Linked DNA regions of Canis lupus familiaris. The protein of the gene in region 1 purifies or fractionates together with the protein of each later gene. This does not show direct contact. Links are inferred from orthologs where the notes say so. Each region holds a gene or a part of one and is shown in the gene's direction. Other genes may lie near its edges.

What was found.
Region 2: the proteins of tubulin alpha-1B chain (region 1) and HDAC6 purify together in Homo sapiens (affinity purification with western blotting; 4 studies listed by BioGRID, with this or other methods). This does not show direct contact. The link is inferred for Canis lupus familiaris from reciprocal best matches to the Homo sapiens genes TUBA1B and HDAC6.
Region 3: the proteins of tubulin alpha-1B chain (region 1) and CCT6A purify together in Homo sapiens (affinity purification with mass spectrometry; 3 studies listed by BioGRID and IntAct, counting the BioPlex papers as one, with this or other methods). This does not show direct contact. The link is inferred for Canis lupus familiaris from reciprocal best matches to the Homo sapiens genes TUBA1B and CCT6A.

What each region holds. Positions count from the first base shown.
Region 1 is NC_049248.1:41,187,174-41,191,292, reverse strand, and holds the start of tubulin alpha-1B chain, read left to right. Parts: upstream 1-1,283; 5' UTR 1,284-1,528; coding exon 1,529-1,531; intron 1,532-2,948; coding exon 2,949-3,171; intron 3,172-3,311; coding exon 3,312-3,460; intron 3,461-3,841; coding exon 3,842-4,119. UniProt on the Homo sapiens protein: Tubulin is the major constituent of microtubules, protein filaments consisting of alpha- and beta-tubulin heterodimers. Microtubules grow by the addition of GTP-tubulin dimers to the microtubule end, where a stabilizing cap forms.
Region 2 is NC_049260.1:42,208,012-42,212,302, forward strand, and holds the start of HDAC6 (histone deacetylase 6), read left to right. Parts: upstream 1-1,427; 5' UTR 1,428-1,444; coding exon 1,445-1,621; intron 1,622-1,711; exon of another isoform or gene 1,712-1,730; intron 1,731-1,786; exon of another isoform or gene 1,787-1,926; intron 1,927-2,343; coding exon 2,344-2,466; intron 2,467-2,546; coding exon 2,547-2,675; intron 2,676-2,812; coding exon 2,813-2,901; intron 2,902-4,201; coding exon 4,202-4,286; intron 4,287-4,291.
Region 3 is NC_049227.1:457,703-461,903, forward strand, and holds the start of CCT6A (T-complex protein 1 subunit zeta), read left to right. Parts: upstream 1-1,262; 5' UTR 1,263-1,357; coding exon 1,358-1,494; intron 1,495-1,948; coding exon 1,949-2,012; intron 2,013-3,827; coding exon 3,828-3,962; intron 3,963-4,201. UniProt on the Homo sapiens protein: Component of the chaperonin-containing T-complex (TRiC), a molecular chaperone complex that assists the folding of actin, tubulin and other proteins upon ATP hydrolysis.

The sequences.
Region 1 (4,119 bases):
GAAAATTTACATATATATAAGAAGTAAAAATATTTCTGTATCTGTGTATGTGTGTATATCTTTATATATATATATACATACATATATCCTTATATATCCATATATGTATATATATCCCTATATATGTGTATGTATATATATATATATCTCCTTATAAACTACAGACATATTAACAGTGTAAATCTGTTATTTGTCTGATATGAAGGGTGAAGTTTTTACCAAGTCTAAGTAAGGTAATAACTGAATGTAAACTGTAAATTATTACTGTTTTATATTTACTTTTTCTTTACTAACATACTATCACTGGGAGGAGATTTTGAGGAGCAGCGTAACAGCAATAGGTTTCTGCTAGGCCCATTTTAAAGCCCCATTTTAACCCTAACTAACCACTTTATGCATTTCTAAGGGTTTATATACTTTATGGTCATGGAATAGTCTCCTCAAAGGCAGAGCTGGGAGGGAGTGGATATCCACTATAATCTGGGCCTCCTAGATGGACGCTATAATCAACTGATCTATCTTGACCAGCAGAAAGCAGTTATTACATACAGTTTTTGCAAAGCTCTAAATAACACGAGGTTTCCCTACTTCCTAACATCCTTCAGTGTCAACAATTTCCTCACTATCCAAGTTTCTGCCCTCACTTCTACAATTCAGCTCTCCTATTTGAAATGTATCTTTGGATTTCCCTTTTGAAAGCCCCTGGAACTGTTCCATAAAATTGTTGGTTATGCCTAAACACGGGGCCTAGGAAGCCCTTTTAACGGCTGCGATGTTCAAACTTAGGTATTACTCTCTGAATGACTCAAATGCTTTTGCATCCAACGTCTGCCACCTTAGTTTAACGAGCAAGTCATTAAGCAAATAAAACGAGTCTGTTTTCTAAACCTTGCATCCTCCACATTATCAGGTTAAGTAAAGACTGCACCGCCTTTAAAGGAGCTGAGAAAAGGGGGAAAAAAAAAAAAAAGGCGAGACTCACTGACAAATTGTAGCAACCTGAAAATAATCAGCTGAGCTATCCGGACCAGAAATTTCTGCATTTCATGGTGCTTCAGCTTTAACGCTGTACGGACTTCTTAAGTCTTAGGGTTCGTCCAAATTGAGGCAGGCCTCCTCTCCCGTCCCCGTGCTGGTTCGCGAACCCGCGCCCGCCCCCGCCCCCCGCCCGGGCCCCGGCAGCCATGCGCCGCAGACTGCAGCACCCGAGCTCGCTGTCCGCAGGCGCGGCGGACCCCGCCCCGCACGGCCGGCGCGCGGGGGGGGGGCGGGGGGAGGGGGCGCCCTGGGCCAGGAGCCCGCCTCTGCGGCGGCCGAGCCGGGCGCCGAGTGGGCGCGCCGGGCGGGAGGAGGGGCCCGCGGCCGTGGCACCGCCCGGGCCCGCCCGCCCTCCCGGACCGCTACTTAAGAGGCTCCGGCGGCGCCCCCGCCTCAGTGCGTTACTTACCTCGACTCTTAGCTTGTCGGGGACGGTAACCGGGACCCGGTGTCTGCTCCTGTCGCCTGCGCCTGCTACCCCGCAGCCACCATGGTGAGTGGGCCGCTCGGGGCGCCGCCCTTGCCCTGGAAGACCGGGGGAAGCGAGCCTGGCGGTCTCGGGGCGGGGGCGGGGGCGGGGGTGGGTGAGGGGGCGCCAGCCGGAGATGAGCGCCCTGATTTGGGAAGGCGAGAGGCGAGGCGAGGGCGGGAGCAGTGAGAACAGCTGGGGCCAGGACGGGGGGCCGCCGCGTTTTCGTCTCGGACTGTGGGAGAGGATGGCCGGGCGCCGGCTCCCGAGACCGTGGTCGGGGTTCTCCATTCGCCCTTACCTCTTGGGGCGCGGCGGCGGCCCGAGACCCTACAGCCTTTTTCCCGCGCGTTCCCATCCCCCCCTTTCCTTCCCCCGCTTTTGGCGGGCGCGCGCGCGGGCTCTGCACGCCCTCACTTCCTCCTCTGCCAGGAGCGCGGAGGCGGGAAGGAGCCGGACACAAAAGCGCACGCGCGACCGTTACCTTCCCGCCACAGGGAGAGGCGGGAGACCGCCCCTGCAGTCTGCGCGTGCGCGCCGGGTCGCTGCGGGCCTGCCGCTGTAGGGCGTGGCTCCTGGTAGCCTGAGTTTTCCTTTTTTATTTATTTTTTTCTTTCTTTCAACGACAGCCGTAAGATGAATGTGGAGGAGAACAGCTCCTTGTCAGTGTGCTGCGTTACGTCAGGGTATCGGGACAATTAGCTCCCAGCAGCTTCTAGAGACCATCTGTCCTTAACTCGGTATGAGTTAGGAATGCGTGTAGGAGCAGGTGGTGGCGGTGAGGCGTTCCGAGGGGACGGAAATCGGATCTTGCTCCAGATCTGGGCCGCCGATAATCCCCTGCCCTGCCCAGACAGATGTGGAGGTGCTGGGCTGAGCCCAACGCCTGGGGAAGCGGAAGAGGGTTGGCGGAGGCAGACCTTCTGCAGACGTGGCTGCGGCGTGTCTCTGCAGCTGCGCGGCCCCGCCGGCCGCAGAGGGGCGCGGGCGCGCGCACTCCCTGAATTGCTCATTCATCCTGTGCCGCAAAGCCCCGCCCTTTGTCCCTGCAGCCAGACGTTTCCTCCGCACTGCTCTGGCCACGTGCTTCCTGTGATGGGAACTGCCCGGAAATCTGGCTGCCCAGTCTAAAATGGCATTCAGAGGCCCGAGCCCTGGATGAATGGCTATCTATCTTCATCCTCCAAAGGAGGAAGCTGTGACTAAGCTCTCTTGCTCTGGAAAAAAGGGCCTTCCCAATAGAGGTGGGGAACAGAAATTCGTTAAAAGCGATGCAGAGCAAAAAGCAAAGGGATTCTCCCCCCTAGAGATCTAAAAGTATTGTGTTTTAACTAGTTTTAGAAGGGGAAGTTTGTAGAAATGACATGAATTTTGTTCTGCTTTGCCGTCATTACTAGATTAGTTTAAGACTGATTTTTATTTTTATCTGTTTTTTCCGCAGCGTGAGTGTATCTCGATCCACGTTGGCCAGGCAGGTGTCCAGATCGGCAATGCCTGCTGGGAGCTCTATTGCCTGGAACACGGCATTCAGCCCGATGGCCAGATGCCAAGTGACAAGACCATTGGGGGAGGAGATGACTCCTTCAACACCTTCTTCAGTGAGACGGGCGCTGGCAAGCATGTGCCCAGGGCAGTGTTTGTAGACCTGGAGCCCACAGTCATTGGTGAGTTGGCCTCAGTAACCCAAGTGAGCTCCCGGGGCACTGGGGCAGGAGGTCTGTCTGAGGCTCCACTGACAGCCTGGGGCTGAGCAGGGTCATGCAGGTTGTTAGTGATGGGTGGCCACCTTGTTTTCCTTTTCCAGATGAAGTTCGCACTGGCACCTACCGCCAGCTCTTCCACCCTGAGCAGCTCATCACAGGCAAGGAAGATGCTGCCAATAACTATGCCCGAGGGCACTACACCATTGGCAAGGAGATCATTGACCTTGTCTTGGACCGAATTCGGAAACTGGTATGTTTATTCTCAAGAATAAAGTAAATAAGGATCCGAAGGAAGACATTTGAGATACGATGTTTTGTTTTGTTTTTTTCATTTCAAATGCAGAATTGAAATGTAATGGAGTGAGGTGAACTACTCCTTTACAGTTTTTTGTTTTTTTTTTTAATTCAATTGAAACCTGAACTACTTGGGTGCTGTTTTACAAATACTAATGAAGATATTTTTAATTAAGAAATGCTTAGAAAGTCTAGGAAGGCCTACATGTATTTAAAAGCATTTCTTGTCAAAATAAGATCTATATTCTTGGAGCTGTATGAAAAGTGGAAATCTGTGTACTTATGATGATATAGCAAAGAGCAGTAATAGGTTTTCTCTATTCCTTTTTTCTAACAGGCTGACCAGTGCACGGGTCTTCAGGGCTTCTTGGTTTTCCACAGCTTTGGCGGGGGAACTGGTTCTGGGTTCACCTCCCTGCTGATGGAACGTCTCTCTGTCGATTATGGCAAGAAGTCCAAGCTAGAGTTCTCCATCTACCCTGCCCCCCAGGTGTCCACAGCTGTAGTAGAGCCCTACAACTCCATCCTCACCACCCACACCACCCTGGAGCACTCTGATTGTGCCTTCATGGTAGACAATGAGGCCATCTATGACATCTGTCGTAGAAACCTCGA
Region 2 (4,291 bases), on another chromosome or scaffold:
CCAGTCTCATTTTTAAAGGAAAAGAAGGAATATGCCACAGAGACCATTATGTGGCCTGCAATGCCTAAAATATTTACTATCCGGCTCTTTACAGAAAAGTTCACTGACCTCTGCTCTTCAGGAATCTGTCTTGTGACTATACAGAAAAATGGGCCGTGGGTCTTACCGGGTGCTCCCTACTCTACTGTTCTGAGGGCACTACAACCCCAGAATGTTCCTCAGTGTGTATCATGTTTTCTTTGGTGCATGTGGAGGTTTAAAGGTCTTAGGACTTGATCCTCTTCCACTGGGACAAAAAATAAAACCAAACAAAACAAAACCATGTTCTGGTAGCAAAAGAGTGAAAGAGAAGGGTGGAACTGGGGTTTTCTAAAGGGTCATAGGGCCAGGCTACTGGGTGGTGGGGCTGTCAATCTATTTGTTAGTCAGCATGCTGAACCCCAGACCGCTTATCTCTTCAGCCCCAGCCTACAGCCCGGTAGGAAATGGTGAAGAATGAGAGAGGGAGATTAGGAGGACAAACCGGCCTCCTGCGGAGCTGATATTTAGACATCTAGACAAGGGGTGTGAGGGAGTTGGAGGGGCACACGGGTGCAACTCCCCCTACTTCCCAGGCACACGCTTTCCCTACAGCTTGGGGGCAGAGGTTACCCAATGGAGAGGGCTGGAGGGAGAACTGCCATCCAAGAAAAACTCTCCATGAGTCTATTCAAGCCCCGGGCACTATTATCACAATTTGCCAGATGAAGAAACCGAAGCACATAGATGTTCAGCAACTTGCTAAGGGTCACATGGCTAAGTCGTGTAACCTCAGTTTCCTTATCTCCAAAGCAGCCTTAATAATAGGAACTACCTCACAGAATTGTGGCTTACGACAGTGCCTGTCACATATTACTTGCTATCATCACGACTGCACTCAGTAAACCTCCTTCCATCCTACCAACCATATTCCCAGCAGAATAGCAGCAGCTAACATTTAGTGAGTGCTTCCTGTGGGCCACCTTAGTGAATATTAACTCGGAAAAGCCTCACAGCATTTAACATCGTCACCACTCCCATTCTGGCCACCACCAGCCATCCTCCAATATCCACCGCGCTCCGGGGCCCTGCCGCCGGCCCGCCCGCGCTACGTCATCACAGCGCGCCGCGCAGGAAGCCACCGGGAGAAAAGAAACCGCCCCTTCCTAATTCCCTCGCTTGCTTGTTTGCTCTCTTGAGTCATCGTACAGGACAACTGGCGCGGGTCCGGAGGACTCCTAAGGTGACCGGACAAGGATCGAGAGACAGCGGCCACGGGAGCCAGGACGGCAGCGGCGGTGGTTGGGGGAGGGGCGGGCTAGAGCCTGAGCGCCACCTCGAACCGCGGGGGCACGCTTCACGCAGGCGCAGCACAGCCAGCGTCGCGCGCTGACGTACCCACGGCGTTTGTGAGCTCGCGGGAAGTATGGCCCGCCTGAAGGGCGCGGCCCTGAGCACCGACACACAGTGTAGGCGGATCGGGGCGGGCAGTAGAGAGACCGGCCCAATGGAAAAGAGGGCCTCAAGCACCCGCCGTCCCGCAGGTCGCCAGGAATTTGGCGGCGGGAGCCCTGGGCGGAGTTTGAAAAAAGGGCTGCGCTCAGTGAGTGGAGCCGAAGGGATTGGTCGGCGTCGGCTGTGGGGTCGGAAGGGGGAGGGGACTGGTGGGAGGCGGCCTGAAACTGGCTGAAGGGATTTGCTGGAGCTTGAGGGTAGGGTTTGAGCAGGGGGTGGGATCTGGTGGAAGGAAAGGGGCAGTTCCCCGAGGAGCGAGGCTCGTTGAAACGTTAGGGGCGGGATCTGGCCAAGTGGAAGGTGTCGGTCCAGCCTGATAAGGGGTGGAGTTAAGTGGATCGTTAAGGGTGGAGTCGGGGCCGGAGCGGGGTCTGGGTCTGGCTGAGTGAAAGGGTGGGTGATTATTCTGGGAGATTAGCTGGAAGGGGCAGATTTGTGAAGGGGTGGGGTCTTGGCGAGGCTTGGAGGAATGAAAGAGTCTGGGAATGTGATTTGGGGGAGCGGAAAGGGCGGTGATTAGCTGGAAAGGGCCGGCGCTAGGACGGACTGAGCCTGGGGACTTATTGCTCCGCGAAAGGGCAAGACTTTTAAAGGGGAAAGAATAGTGTTAAGGGGGTGGAGCCTACTGGGATGGGCGGGACCAGGTGGAATGGACACCCCAGTGGAAGGAGAAGGCCTTGAAAGGGGTGGAGTTTAGAAGGCGGTGGGGAGTAGGATAGCAGAAGGGATGGAGACTGTATAGGGGGCGGGGTCTGGGAGGCCCTCAGGGCACTCCAGCCTGTTCGTAGTCACCGCCACCCCACCCCCCAGAGCCGCATCAGGGGTGAAGTCTCCCCGACCATGACCTCCACCGGCCAGGATTCCACCACAACCAGGCAGCGAAGGAGTAGGCATAACCCCCATTCGCCCCCCCACGACTCCAGCGTCACCTCGGTGAGGCCCCAAACCTGCCTGATGGGGGGGAGGAGCAGTAGGCCGTGCCCTGGAATCTGACCCTTCTCTCTGTTTGGCAGAAGCGAGGTGTTAAGAAGGGTGCCTTACGCCACTCCAGCCCTAGTCTAGCAGAGGTAAAGAAGAAAGGCAGAATGAAGAAGCTCAGCCAAGCAGCAGAGCAAGACCTAATCGTGGGCCTGCAAGGGCTGGTGAGAGTGGCCTGGGCTCAATGGATTTAGCTTCCTGTGACAATCAGAATCCTGTGGTTCTCCCTCCTGGACAGTGTGTGTTCCTTCTGACTCGGGCCCAAAGTGGATCGGTTTCTCCCCTTTTTTTCTCCCTGCAGGATCTGAACCTTGAGGCCAAGACACTTTGTGGCACTGGCTTGGTGTTTGATGAGCAACTAAATGAATTCCACTGCCTCTGGGATGACAGGTGAGGCTGGCTCCTCCAGACGGTACCCTAACCACAAAAATAAATGCCCTTAGAGCCCATTAGCAAGAACGAAGCCATTCTTATGCTAGCCTGGAGACTGGCAGCAGATGATTTCAAGTGGGGAGGCTTAGGCTTGAAAAGATTCTTTTCATTTGGCCAACACCTCCTGAGTATGCACTGTGTTCCAGGAGTTGGTGATACAGACATGTCAGACCAGACAGACAGGGCCCCTTCTCTAGGAGCTGTTAGTTGAGTAGGAGAGCAAATCATTAAACAGCCAACAGCAGTGTGAAGTATTTAACGAAGGATAACCCCAGACTAGGGGATTCAAGAGTGTTTGATAGAGGACCCTAGACTAGCATTCCGGGGTTCGCAGAAGGCTTCCTTGAAGAAAGGATATTTCATGCAGAAATGCAAGAATTTATACCTCCCATTTGCTCACACATGTTGTAATTCTTTTGGCTCTGTGTTGGAAATGTATTCAGTACCTGACCTCTCCTTACCACCTCCACTGCCACCACCACCATCACTTACCTAGACTTGGCCGAGGCCTTCTCCTTGGCTGCCTGCTTTCACCCTCACCCTGCTGTCTGTTCTCCACATGGCAGCCAAAGAAAACCAAAATACGTGTGAGATGATGTTGTCTCTCTCTTTTTAATTACTTTTTAACTGAAGTATAGTTGACATACTGCATTACATTAGTTAGAGTCCTGTTCTCTTTTTTAGAATCCTTCAAGGGTATACCATTGCCCTCAAGGTAAAGTCCAGATTCTTCATTCTGGCCTATAACATACCACGTGATCTGGCTCCACACCACTTCAGTGACCTCATCAGCCAGTCACTCGCGTAGCTTCATTTCACCCACACTGGTCCCCCTGCTGTTCCTCCAGCATCGCCAGGCACTCTGTCAGCTCGGGTCTTTACCCTGGCTGGCCCCCTCTTCCAGAAACTCATTTCCACCTCCTCCTCACCCAGTTAACATTCCCATCTCAAGGAGACTTGCTCCAAGAGGTCTTTGTCTGCTCCCCTTCCCCCACACCTGCTGTTGGAGGCCTTCCTAGTCTATATCATTGTTTGCTCATTTATCACACTTATGTGTGTATGTCCCCTCTCCCAACAGAAGACTCATGATGGCAAAAGATTTCATTCTCGAATACATGTCTGCCATCTCCTGAGGAGCTAGGGATGCCGTGGTAGACAAAACAAACAGAACCCCTGCCTCTGGGAAGATTGCATTTTAGAGGGGGAAGAGAGAGTCTGTGTGTGTGTGGGTGTGTAACTGTATGTCTTGTCAACCCAGCTTTCCTGAGGGCCCTGAGCGGCTCCATGCCATCAAGGAACAACTGATCCAGGATGGCCTCCTGGACCGCTGCGTGTCCTTTCAGGTGAG
Region 3 (4,201 bases), on another chromosome or scaffold:
CTTCATCTCTGCTCATATCTCCCACACATCTGCACAGTAAATAAATCCGCATGCATACCAAGTAAGATAAGCACAAGTCTCCTGTGTAATGCCATTAATCAGATTTATAATGTGCTGTTGAGATTCTCAAATATACAAAGCCACTTAAAAGCATCATATTCCAGGATATTCACTGCAGCTTCAATAGCAAAAGATTAGGAACAACCTAAATATCAACCGGTGTATGACAAGTTAATTCTGTCACTCTTACAAAGAATATCAGGCAGCTGTTAATGCGGAATCCCTATTTGTATTGATACGGTACAATCACCAACATACTTTAAGTATGGTACACCCATCACTGTGTATTCTAAATTGACATTTTGTGTGGGGGGGAAATGCTTTTAACTATACACATTTATAAATTCATAAATCACCTGGGAAATTAGAATATCTAAGGGTAATTGTGCTTGTCTGAAGGAAGCCGAACTAGAGGGACGAGGGCGTGCTTTTCATCATACACCCTTTGGAACTTTTGAATTCTAACGGTTTTCGTTATTATAAAAACGAAACACAAGACATTACTGAATAATACGGGGGTGGTGAATACTGGATACTAGAAAACAACTGCACACCTTTCGGAATTTTGTACTAAAACAGAGCCCTCTCAAAGCACGGGGACCACCACTCAAGCAAGTCTGAGTCTGACCACCTGCCTGGGAGCAGCGTGTCCCGCGCCGCCAGTGCACCAACCCCGAAGCTCGCTAAAAAGGCCCTAAGCACCTTCCATCCTGCGCGCCATCTTCCCCTCCCTGGGCTCCGAACACCGACAGCAGCGGGCGGGGGCCCGAGCAGGTGCACTTCTGCACCCCGCAGCACCGAGAGCCCTTCCAAGCACACCGTAGGGAGGCCAGAAAACGCCGGTGACGGCGAGGCAGGAAGCAAGGGGAGGAAGCAGGGCAACACGCGCGACGGGGAGGAGGAAGCCCACCCTACCCCTGCGGCCAGAGACCTCCAGGAGAGAGCGGCCCACGCTCACTCTGCAGTCGCGGCCTCGCCCCGCCCCGCCTCGCTCCTCAGGTCCCGGGGCTGCAGAGCCGGACCCCGCCGGCGGCCACGCCGGACCGCGACGAGCCCTTCCGACCCGGAACAGGGCCCTCCCGGGCGCAATGGCGGCGCCGCGCGGCCGCGGGGGGCGGGGCGGGCGCTCGGGGGCGGGGCAGTAGCGCCGCGGCCCAATGGCAGCGGCGCGCGGGCACGCTGGGGGCGTGGCGACGCGCCCGACTTTTCCAGAAGACCCGGGTAGCGCCTCCCGGCCACGCCGAGCCAGCTGCGGGCCCTCAGCGCGCCGAGCCTCCTCTTCTTCCGCTGGTCGGCTATGGCGGCCGTGAAGACCCTGAACCCCAAGGCCGAGGTGGCCCGCGCCCAGGCGGCGCTGGCGGTCAACATCAGCGCGGCCCGGGGGCTGCAGGACGTGCTGAGGACCAACTTGGGGCCTAAGGGCACCATGAAGATGTAAGGCGGGGTTGGCGGTGGGGGGGAGGGGAGGGCGCCGCGAGCCTGGCGGAGGAGGGCGGGAGGAGGGGAAATGGGCTGCGCGGGCACCGCGGGCCGGGGGAGGGGGGCCGGCCGGGGCCTCTGCACTCGCCGCAGCCGCCCTGCCGGCCCGCACGCTCCCGGGTGGCCCCCGCGCCCTGCTCAGTCCGTTTCCCTTCTAATTGATGCCGCCTCTGCGGAGAACAAAGCGGCCTGCGTGCACGGCTCGCGCCGTGGAGACCCCGAGGGCTCGGCCAGCTGTTTCTCTGAAGGGAGAGCGGGGCGCTGCACCGTTCCTGTTGCCTGCCGGGTGCAGAGAAGCAGCCGCGTGGCCCCAACTCCCGAGGATCTGGGTGAAGCCCGACTGCAGTGGGACTATGGACTAGGTCTCCGATGAGAACGTCACACTGATTCATTTGTGCTCGTTGAACAGGCTCGTGTCTGGTGCTGGAGACATCAAGCTTACTAAAGATGGCAATGTGCTGCTTCATGAAATGGTGAGAGGCCGCTTGGTATGCTAAGTCAAAAATGTCTTGGTGTTCCATATCACGTGTGATTTGCAGGAAGATTTTTAATGTTCATTTTCAAGATAGAAGTTCACCATTGCTCAGCAGGTCTTTCAGACCATGGAGGAAGTAGAAAAGGAATAGAATCAGTAATCGTAGTGACAGTTCAATGCCAGGAGGAACCCTGGAGTCTGGTAACTTCTTTTTGAAGCCCTAATCTTGCCATGTAAATCCGTGGTTAAAGGATTGTTAGTTATTGGGGATCCCTGGGTGGCTCAGCGGTTTGGCGCCTGCCTTTGGCCCGGGCGTGATCCTGGGGTCCCTGGATCGAGTCCTGCGTCAGGCTCCCTGCATGGAGCCTGCTTCTCCTCTGTGTCTCTGCCTGTGTGTCTTTCATGAATAAATAAATAAAATCTTGGGATCCCTGGGTGGCGCAGCGGTGTAGCGCCTGTCTTTGGCCCGGGGTGCGATCCTGGAGACCCGGGATCGAGTCCCACGTTGGGCTCCCAGTGCATGGAGCCTGCTTCTCCCTCTGCCTGTGTCTCTGCCTCTCTCTCTCTCTGTGACTATCATAAATAAATAATAGATTTTAAAAAAAGGGATTGTAGTTTAAATTAACTATTAAAATTTGAAAAAAAAAAGCGATTGATATAGGTAGGTACAAAATGGTTTTGCTTTCTCTCTTTAAGAGGGTGATTTCTGTCAACATCCCATCTCTAAATGAAAGCGAGATAAAACTCTGCTTTACTCTAATTGTTTTTTTTTTTTAATTCTTTTTTTTTATTTATTTATGATAGTCACACAGAGAGAGAGAGATAGGCAGAGGGAGAAGCAGGCTCCATGCACCAGGAGCCCGACGGGGGATTCGATCCCGGGTCTCCAGGATCACTCCCTGGGCCAAAGGCAGGCGCCAAACCGCTGGGCCACCTAGGGATCCCTACTCTAATTGTTAAATCCCCACTGACCAAGGGTATGAGACTGTTGAGAAGAGCAGTTGTTTTACTCATCCCTAAGTTTCCAAAATCTAGCACTTAAAAACCAAGTAAAGGAAATGACCCTCCCCCCCGTGTTTTGAGTTTTTTATTGTGTAATACAGTAGATACTCAGAGAAGCACATGAACCCAGTAAGAAGCATACAGTATTATCCATATAATATATTTATCATCTACAAATTTAAATGAGATAGTTTGCAAAATATCTGGCCTAGATTCTTAAACTGTCAGTTTCCCTAAAAACAAAAGGTTGTGGAACTCTTCTGGATTACAGGAGAATAAGGAGATTTAAAAACTAAAAACAGTTCGGGAGCATTGTTTGGCATACAGTGCATATCCTGTTCTTAAAAACCTCTCAGTGATTTAGCTGTCACTAGTGATCTTTGCTCTAAAAGAGAACTTTTTTCTTTTTATTTTTTTATTCAATTCCAAGTAATACTGGAGGCTGCTGGGGTTTAATTTTAGAAGGAACCTGGTTTATTCTCCCAAGAGTCCTAAAGAAGCATGCATGGATTTGAAATTATTTCTTACTGTTAATTCTGTTACCTTCAGTAGACCTTAACAGTAAGCCTCAGATTTCCTCATCAGTAAAGTGGAGATAATCTTCTCAAATCTATATGTAAAAATATTTGGGTTATCATAAATTGATATACAAAATAGTTAATAGTGAGTTTTAAATCAGCATGGTATATAGCTGAACACTTGGGCAGTTTATGCAAATCGATGCATTTAAGGAGACCCTTCACATGCTTTAAAGTATATTTGGAGTATTTTCACTGAAGTAATTCTTTTTTTTCTTTTTTTCCACTTTCAGCAAATTCAACACCCAACAGCCTCCCTAATAGCCAAAGTAGCAACAGCCCAGGATGACATAACTGGTGATGGTACCACATCCAATGTCCTAATCATTGGAGAGCTACTGAAACAGGCGGATCTCTACATTTCTGAAGTATACATGATTCTTGTGTTGCCGGAAATTTCTATAAATTGAGGTGTTAATAGTAGCTGAGGCCAGATAGTACAAGGTAAAGAGTAGGGGGCTTAAATCTAGGAACCAGAGCCTATATCCTGGTCTTAATACAAGTTTATTGTGATCCTGGACAGATTAAGGAAACTTCCTTGGCCTGCAGAGGTTTTTTTGGTCAAGTTGTATTACATATTATTTATTTACATATGTCTGTAACAGCT